Coturnix japonica: one gene and its partner. The protein of the gene in region 1 interacts with the protein of each later gene in a biochemical or structural test. Links are inferred from orthologs where the notes say so. Each region holds a gene or a part of one and is shown on either strand. Other genes may lie near its edges.

What was found. The genes of interacting proteins can lie anywhere in the genome.
Region 2: the proteins of JUN (region 1) and RUNX2 form a complex in vitro, tested with the Homo sapiens proteins (2 studies listed by BioGRID). The link is inferred for Coturnix japonica from reciprocal best matches to the Homo sapiens genes JUN and RUNX2.

The regions. Positions count from the first base shown.
Region 1 is NC_029523.1:23,599,101-23,602,935, forward strand, and holds JUN (transcription factor AP-1), read right to left. Parts: upstream 2,681-3,835; 5' UTR 2,157-2,680; coding exon 1,212-2,156; 3' UTR 587-1,211; downstream 1-586. UniProt on the Homo sapiens protein: Transcription factor that recognizes and binds to the AP-1 consensus motif 5'-TGA[GC]TCA-3'.
Region 2 is NC_029518.1:99,721,882-99,725,927, reverse strand, and holds the start of RUNX2 (runt-related transcription factor 2), read right to left. Parts: upstream 2,809-4,046; 5' UTR 2,778-2,808; coding exon 2,478-2,777; intron 1-2,477. UniProt on the Homo sapiens protein: Transcription factor involved in osteoblastic differentiation and skeletal morphogenesis. Essential for the maturation of osteoblasts and both intramembranous and endochondral ossification.

The DNA.
Region 1 (3,835 bases):
CTGACAACAGCATTTTCAGATATTAACAAGGATCACCTTTCACTGCAGAAAGACTGCATAGGAACGAAGGTGAATATTTCTACTTTTGAAGTCTAGAGCACTTTTGTTGCAAAGGAAAGCAAACAGCCCCTTGCCTGATCCTGCTCGAGGGCATTGGCTTAATAAAAAGCATGCAAGAGCACAAGCAGCCAGATACAAGTGCAAAGCAGTTTCACACACCGGCTTTCTACCATCTCTAGAGCCTGCCTAAAGCCAAAGTCAGCCGCCCCAGCAGGGCCACTACAACACACAATAACCTCCCAGGTTAAGGTTAGGAACTGGAACTCCCAGACAACTCAAAAAGTTCTGTTTGCTCAGTGCTCAGGATCTGGTTCCCCCCGTCTCCTCCTCACACGTTCTCCAGGACATGCCTGCACTTACAGAGCGAGTTTCACATAATCCCTGCCCTTTAGAGTCCAGCATTAAGGGCATTTTCCTAACTCACATACTAGCAATAATAATAATAATAATAATAATGAAAAAGGTGTGAGGAGGAAATGCATTTTAAGTATTTTATTTTTTTTTAAATATAATAGAACCTTCTAGATTTTTTCCAGAAACAGAAACATTAAAAAAATTATACTTTATTACAAATGGTAAACTCAGAGTGCTAAAAAAAAGCCTCTTATTTACAAACAATACTGGGCAGTACCCAAATAAACAACATAAAAATAACTTACAAAGTCATGAAGTAGTTTATTGACATTAATCAACTTTCATAAAATAAAATAAAAAAGGATATGTACATACACCATTTACTTGAAGGCAGGAACAACAGTTCTTGGTTGTTTATCAGCCTCCCACAAACCTCCCTCCCGCTTTTTGTTTGTTTGTTTGTTTCTTAAGGAATACTACATGAAGCAATCTACAGTTTCTATTGCAGTTTAACCTTTAATACTGAATGATCATCGAATGTTAGGTCCATGCAGGTCTTGGTCAATGTTAAACGAAGATCTGTCGCCTCATGGGAGCAGGATCAGCACCTCGGAGCGGTGCCGGCTGCTTCACCAACTCGAGCTGAAGGCTGCCCAGTCTTTGCACACATGTGCTTTGCAGCACGCAGGCAGGACTCACAGCCTCCCAGCTTCTACCGTGAGCTTTACGCGTCCGCCGCTTTTGGTTTGTCGTTTAGTTATACCACAACATCACAGTTCCTATTGAAGTCAGTCTCTTCAAAACGTTTGCAACTGTTGTGTTAGCATTAGCTGGCACCCGCTGTTGACATGGTTCATGACCTTCTGCTTAAGCTGTGCAACCTGTTCTCTGAGCATGTTGGCAGTGGATGCCAGCTCTGAGTTCTGGGCTTTCAAAGTTTTCACTTTTTCTTCCAACCTGGCAATCCTTTCCAACTTCCTTTTCCGGCATTTGGACGCCGCGATTCTGTTTCTCATGCGTTTTCTCTCGGCTTTGATTCTCTCCTGCGACTCCATGTCAATAGGGGACAGGGGAGGGGTTTCCCCCGGCATTTCAGGTACAGTCTGAGGCTCTTCTTTCAGAGCCTGAAGCCTGGGATGCTGCACTGGCATCTGGGGGTTTATGTGATGCTGCGGCGCGTAGCCCATGCCGTTGGCATTGTAGTTGGGTGCGGAATTGAGCGCGTTGGGGTTGAAGTTGCTGAGGTTGGCGTACACCGGGGGCTCGCTGTGCAAACTCGTGTTGAAGCTGCCGCCGCCGGCCATGGAGGACACAGGTGCCATGCCACCGCTAACAGGTTGCGCGGCCGAGGTGACGCTGGGCAGCGTGTTCTGGTTGTGCAGTTCCGCCAGCGCTCTCACGAAGCCTTCGGCAAACCCCTCTTGTTCGTCGGTAACGTTCTTGGGGCACAGGAACTGCGTCGGGGTCGGCGTGGTGGTGATTAACCCGTTGCTGGACTGGATGATGAGCCGCTCCAGCTCCGGGGAGGCCAATTTCAGCAGCCCCACGTCGGGGGAGGTGAGGATGTCGGCGTTCTTGTTCCGCAGGTGCGGCTTCAGGCTGCTGGCCGGGTCGGACAGGTTCAGCGTCATGCTCTGCTTCAGCACCTTGGCGTTATTATATCCATAACCGCCGCTCTCCGGCGGCGCGAAGCTGGCGTTCAGTGCATCCTCGTAGAAAGTAGGCTCCATCTTTGCACTCATAGAACAGAGCCCAAAAAGTGGCGCCGGGAGCCGCCCCACACCGCTCCCGGCCAAGCGGCTTGGGGGGAAAGAGCAAGCCGGAGCCTTCCTTACTTCTCGCCGGGACAACGCCGCTCCTCCCGGCGCGGGCCGGGCCCGCCGGGCCTACGCTGTGCGCTGTGCGCTGTACGCTGTACTCTGTACTCTGTGCGCTGTGCTGCTCCCCGGGCCGCCTCTCCGCGCTGTGCCGGGCCGGGCCGCTCCTGCCGCCGTTGCCGCTTGTACCTCCCGGCTCCGCGCTCCGCTCGGCCGTGCCCGCTGTGGCGGCTGATTCTCGCTGCCGCCCGCCCCGCTCTGAGCCCGCTCGCTCCGTGCAGCCCTTCACTTATCAGCGACCGGGAGCCCGCTAAAAATAGCCCATGATGTCACCCCGCGCGCTCCCCATTGGCTGCCGCCGCCCGTCCCGGGGGAGGCGTGGCGCTGGCCCGGCGCGGTGCATGGCAGCCGGTCGCCATGGACACCCCGCCCCTAGAAGCTTCTCAGCGCCGGCGCGGGGCCTTGTGGGATGAGGTAATGCTGCCGGCGGCGCGGGGCATTGTGGGCTGACGTCTTGTTTTTGAATATCTGGTTACCGCGGCCCGAGCTCCGAGCGGGGTTGGGCGGCTCGACGGCCTCGTACCAACCAACCGCTGCCCTACCGGGTACCGGGGCACCGCGATGCCGCCCCGAGCCGCCCCGCGCCCTCAGCCCGTGCGTTGTGCTGCGCTCGGGGCCGAGATGCTGCGTGCGGCGGGGCCGGGCCGCGCTCCTCCGTTCCACGTCGCGTTGAGTCCCGCCGCATCGCCGCCTCCTCCCCCCCCCCGGTCCCGTTGTTGGTACGGCCCTGAAGGTGGCGCTCCGGGGGAGCCCTCACGTGATTTCCCCGCCTCGCTGCCCCCGCCGCTTCCAGGCAGGGCCGGGGCGGGCGCGCACAGCGCCGGGGCCGCCCCCGCCCCGCACGGGGGCACAGCGCAGGGCGGGCGGCGCTGGGGTGGGGGCGGCTCGGCCTCGTCTCCTCCCGTCCCGGGGAGCCCCGGCGGGCGGGGACGGGCGGCCCGGCTGCCCTCAGCCCCGCCTGCCTTCAGCCGCTGCGGTGAGCGCTGTGTCTGTTCCCAGGGCCGGGAGCTCCCCAAAGTATGAGAGGGGAAAAAGCTGCCGGGAAGGAGCCTGGCTCTGGATGGGTTTTCCTAAAGTTGTCCTCCCGGTTGTAGAGCTGTGCTGGTATTAGTGTGTGAGCGCAGCTTGGCCAAGGGGAACGGCTGGAGATGGAGGGATCCGGTCGGGGAGGGAGGTTTGTGCTGCTCCACAGCTACCGGGGACTCGCAGCTCGGCTGATGGACGGGACGGGAACCCGGGGCAACAAGTGCTGCCGCTGCTGCTTCGCTGCTGGGCTCCATCGCTTTGTGTGACATACGAAGCTGACAAACTTAAGTCTCGGTTTGAAAATGCACTTTAAAACTCTTAAGTGCTATTTTTTTTCTTCTAGATGTAATAACATAATTAGCACTTAAAGTACGGGAGGGAGCAATGTAATAAACAGAATCAAAAAGAGCTGTGAATTAAAAGTGAATGTCTGGATGCACTGACTGATAGAAGTTACTGCTCCTTTTATAGAGTCATCTCCCGGTCCTCCCTGCTGTGCACACCTGGCTGCACTCAGT
Region 2 (4,046 bases), on another chromosome or scaffold:
AGCATCTTATATGCTGCGTGTGACAGCTCAGAGCTGAAGGGACAACTCAGCACATCGATAAACCTCCCGCATCCACACCTGCCTGCAGCCCCACACACCACCCAAATATCAGAACCTATGAGCACAAACACGCTGGGATGCGCTCTCGCTCTTTGCTCTCGCTCTTTGTAAGTCCTTTTATCACATGTACTGGAATAACATCCTAAATACCACTCAGCTGAGCCCCACTGCCTCCCTGCAGTGAGCTGGGACCGCACGCTCTGGGTGGCTGCAGGGCAGGGGCACGCTCAGCCTTTTCAAACGGAAGCAGAAATACAGAAGCAATAACACAGAGCCCTCACGTTACTTCTATAGGAAGGAACTACAACACTGAGCTCACCTACAAGCAAATTAATCACAACTGCGATCCTGGGAGACAACTCCTCACGCCAGGAATCAGAGCCAAGCTCTGACCTGAGCCTCACAGACTGGAGGCACCCCATAACCTAGTGGCACCCTGTAACCTGGTGGCACCCCATAGGCCCCACAGCACCCGCAGACCCAGTGGCAGAACACACCCCACTTTCTGCTATTTCCACCCAAGCACAAGGCAGGCCCTATGCAGGGTAACTGCAGCTACAGACCCAGCAGGTCTCTGCCCCTCTGCCTTCATCTCTACTCCCTCTGATAGCAAAGTGCCAGCAGCACACCGCCTTTATGGCCAGACACACCAAAACCAGCTCTTTCAGCTGTTTTGACCCATTTTATTTCCCCGACAAAACAAAGATAGCGTGGCTGGCATGCAGAAAACACAACCCAAGGGGTCGTTCTGGCAGCACTGGGGTGCAGGGCTGCTCCCAGGCTGTGCCCGTGAGCCACTGCAGGCAAGTGCTGCCGGCCTTAGGACATGGTTGGGGGGCTCAGTGCAGCCGTGCAGGGCTGTGGGGAGGACGGAGGGCTGCAGAACACAGCACACAGCCGGGGCTGCTACTGCAGCTTTTAATAAACGTTTTCCTCTCATCAGCGTGCGCGGGGATGGAGGCAGAAAATGAGAATCTTAACACCCCCCCCAACCACTCCGTGGAGGCCAGGAGAAGTGAGTGGGTTCCCCCATCAGGACCCCAATCCCTGCACTAAACCCATGTGCGCCCCCTCCCCAGCTCCAGGAGCTGGGACACGAGGCTGGGATTTTGGGGGTGCCCCTCAGGGAAGGTTTGGAGGCAGCACCCGTTCTGCATCCCTGCACTGAGCTCTTGCAGATGGATGAATCTCGTTATAAGAAAACTTCTTTTTTTAAAGGAAAGCTGCTAAGAGGCTCAGTGGGGTGCTGTGGTGGTGGCACAGGGACGGGGGGAGCCCAGAGGGGGGCAATGCTTTAAGGGAATAGAAATAACATGACTGATCCCAGAGGTTGGGAGGGTTCGGTGGCACAGCACACACTGCAGCACGGGGGGGGCACAGCGTGCCCTGCAGGATGGGAGGGCATGAGAGGGTCTGCAGAGAGGGGGTAAGGATGTTCTATGGGACAGAGAGGAAACAGGGAGCACTGCAGGGCAGAGAGGGCTCAGGATGCACAGTGGGATGCGGGGGCATGGCAGACAGAAGGATGGGGGTATGTGAGGCAACGCCAGGACGGGGGGGGGGGGGGCAGGAGGAACTGGAGCACCGAGGGTGGCACGGAAGACCCTACGGAGCCTTGGGACACACACACTGTGCAGAAGGGACACAGAAATCAGTGCAGATGGGGGGCACAGGAGGCAATGCAGCACGGGATGGGGGCACAGGAGGCACTGTAGGGGCACAAGAAGTCGCTGTAGGATGGAGAAGCAAAAGACTCAAGGCAGGAATGGGCACACGCATAGGAGCTGTTGCGGAATGGGGGGGCACAGAAGTCAGTGTAGGACAGAGGGGGCACAGAACTCATTGCAGGATGAGGGGATGCACGGTGCAGGATGGGGGGGCGGGAGGGGGCTGAAAGGGGGAGAGACACAGAAGTCAAAGAAAGCCCGGGGTGCACAGGAAACTTTGTAGGACTGGGGGTCACAGAAGTCAGTGCAGGATGAGGTCTGCAACAGAAGTCCGTGCAAAACGAGAGGGGGGCACACGAACAGTTACTGCAGCACGGGGAGGGTGGGAAACACGGAGATCATTGGCGGAGGGCGGGGGGGTAAGTGGGGGGGGCACAGAAGTCAGTGCGCGGGTGCACAGAAAGTCAGTGTATGGGCTCAGAGCTCAGTGAGGCGGGCGGAGGGGGCGGGAGGCATCAAGAGGATTGGGGCGGGGAGGGGGCAGCACAGAGGAATGGAGGGGGGGTGGGGGCACAAGGAACGATGGGATGAGAGGGGCTCAGAAGTCATCGCGGGAGGCACTACCGGGGGGGGGGGGGCACGGCGGGCATTGCGGGCTGGTGGGGGCGAACACCGCAACGCCTGCGGGCGGAGGTGATGGGGAAGGGGGGGCGAGCGGCCGCTGTCAGCGCGGGGGGGAGAAGCGCTCACCTTGAAGGCGACGGGCAGCGTCTTGTTGCAGCGCCAGTGGGAGGGCAGCACGGAGCACAGGAAGTTGGGGCTGTCGGTGCGCACCAGCTCCCCGGGGTGGTCCGCGATGATCTCCACCATGGTGCGGTTATCGTGCGGCCGCAGCCGGGGCACGGCGGCTTCTTGCTGCTGTTGCTGTTGCTGCTGCTGCTGCTGTTGGGCCACTACGACCGGGCTGACCTCGCTCATCTTGCCGGGCTGCAGGCTGCTGGAGGGGGGGGTGAAGCGCCGGCTGGTGCTGGGATCTACGGGGATACGCATCACAACAGCCACAAGTTAGCGAATTGGGGGGCGGGGGGGCGGGGAGGGGGGGGGGAAAAAAATCGGGGGGAAAAAAAAAAAAAGAAAAAAGCAAGGAAAAAAAAAACAACACAACGGCACAAAAAGAATTAAAAAAAAAGCCCCAGATCTCAGTCTGTTGTCGTTCGTTCGCTCGGGGCTGCGCTGCCCTCAGCTACGCCCGGCGCTGCGGCTCCGTCCCGCAGCGCGTCCCTGCCCGGAGCCGCTTCTCCTCCGTCCGTCCGTCCGTCCTTCCCCGCTTCCAGCCGCCGCTCCTGCTCTCAGCGCCGCGCGACTTTCTCTCCTTTTTCCTTCCTCTCCCTTCCCGTCCGCTTTTCGGGCTTGAAGAGGGGGCGAAGGCAGCCGGCTGTGCTCGCCGCTTCAAGAGGAGCGTCACTCGCAATGAGCGAAGGGGAAACGTCCCGGTTTCCTCCGAAGAATTCTTCCTCCTCCTCCGGCCAAACAAACGGCGAAGAAAAAGGGAGCGAAGCCTTAGCGCCGTGCCGGGGCTGCGGTGCGAGGAGCGGTGCGGGGCTGAGCGCCGGGAGCGGCCCGGGACGAAGATCGGGGCTCAGGGCGAGTCCGGCGCCCGGCTTCCAAACGGCAGCATCGTCGGGAGGGGGCAAAAAAGAGAAGAACCCCCCCCCCCCGGAGCAGCCCTGTGCGGGCTGATTCCGAAACTATGCCCGAGGAAACGGTGGGGAAAGGCAGCTTCGGTGCGGTCCGGTCCGGTTAATTGAGTCGCTGCTGGATCCGAGTCCGGGGAGCCGAACCGGGTAACTGGAATCGCTCGTTTGGTTTGGTGGGGTTAATTTTTAGGGGGGCGGTTGTTTGGTTTTTTTTTTCCCCCCTTTTCTCGATGAACAGCAGCAGGCAAAAAAAAAGTCACTGTCTCAGCAGTCATTCAGGTGTCGCTTTGCGGGAGTTACGCTCCGCTCTCCGAAAAATCGCGTCGGTCGAGAACGATAAAGAATATATTAAAAAAATAAAAGGCGAAAAGCAACAAAAGTTCTTTCGGGTGCCGAAGAGCTGCGTGCGGGGAGGCGGAGGAGCCGAGAGGGGGGAGAAAAAACAACACGCAGGAAAAGAAAAAAAAAAGAAAAACAAGAAGAAAAAAAAAACTCCGCAGTCTTTTTTTTTGTCCTGAATGCGGTTTTTTTTTTTCTTTTGGAGGCTGGGACTTCTAATGATTAGGGGGTTTGTGGTTTATATATACGGGGCTCTCCGGCTGGGGCCATCATTATGCTGATG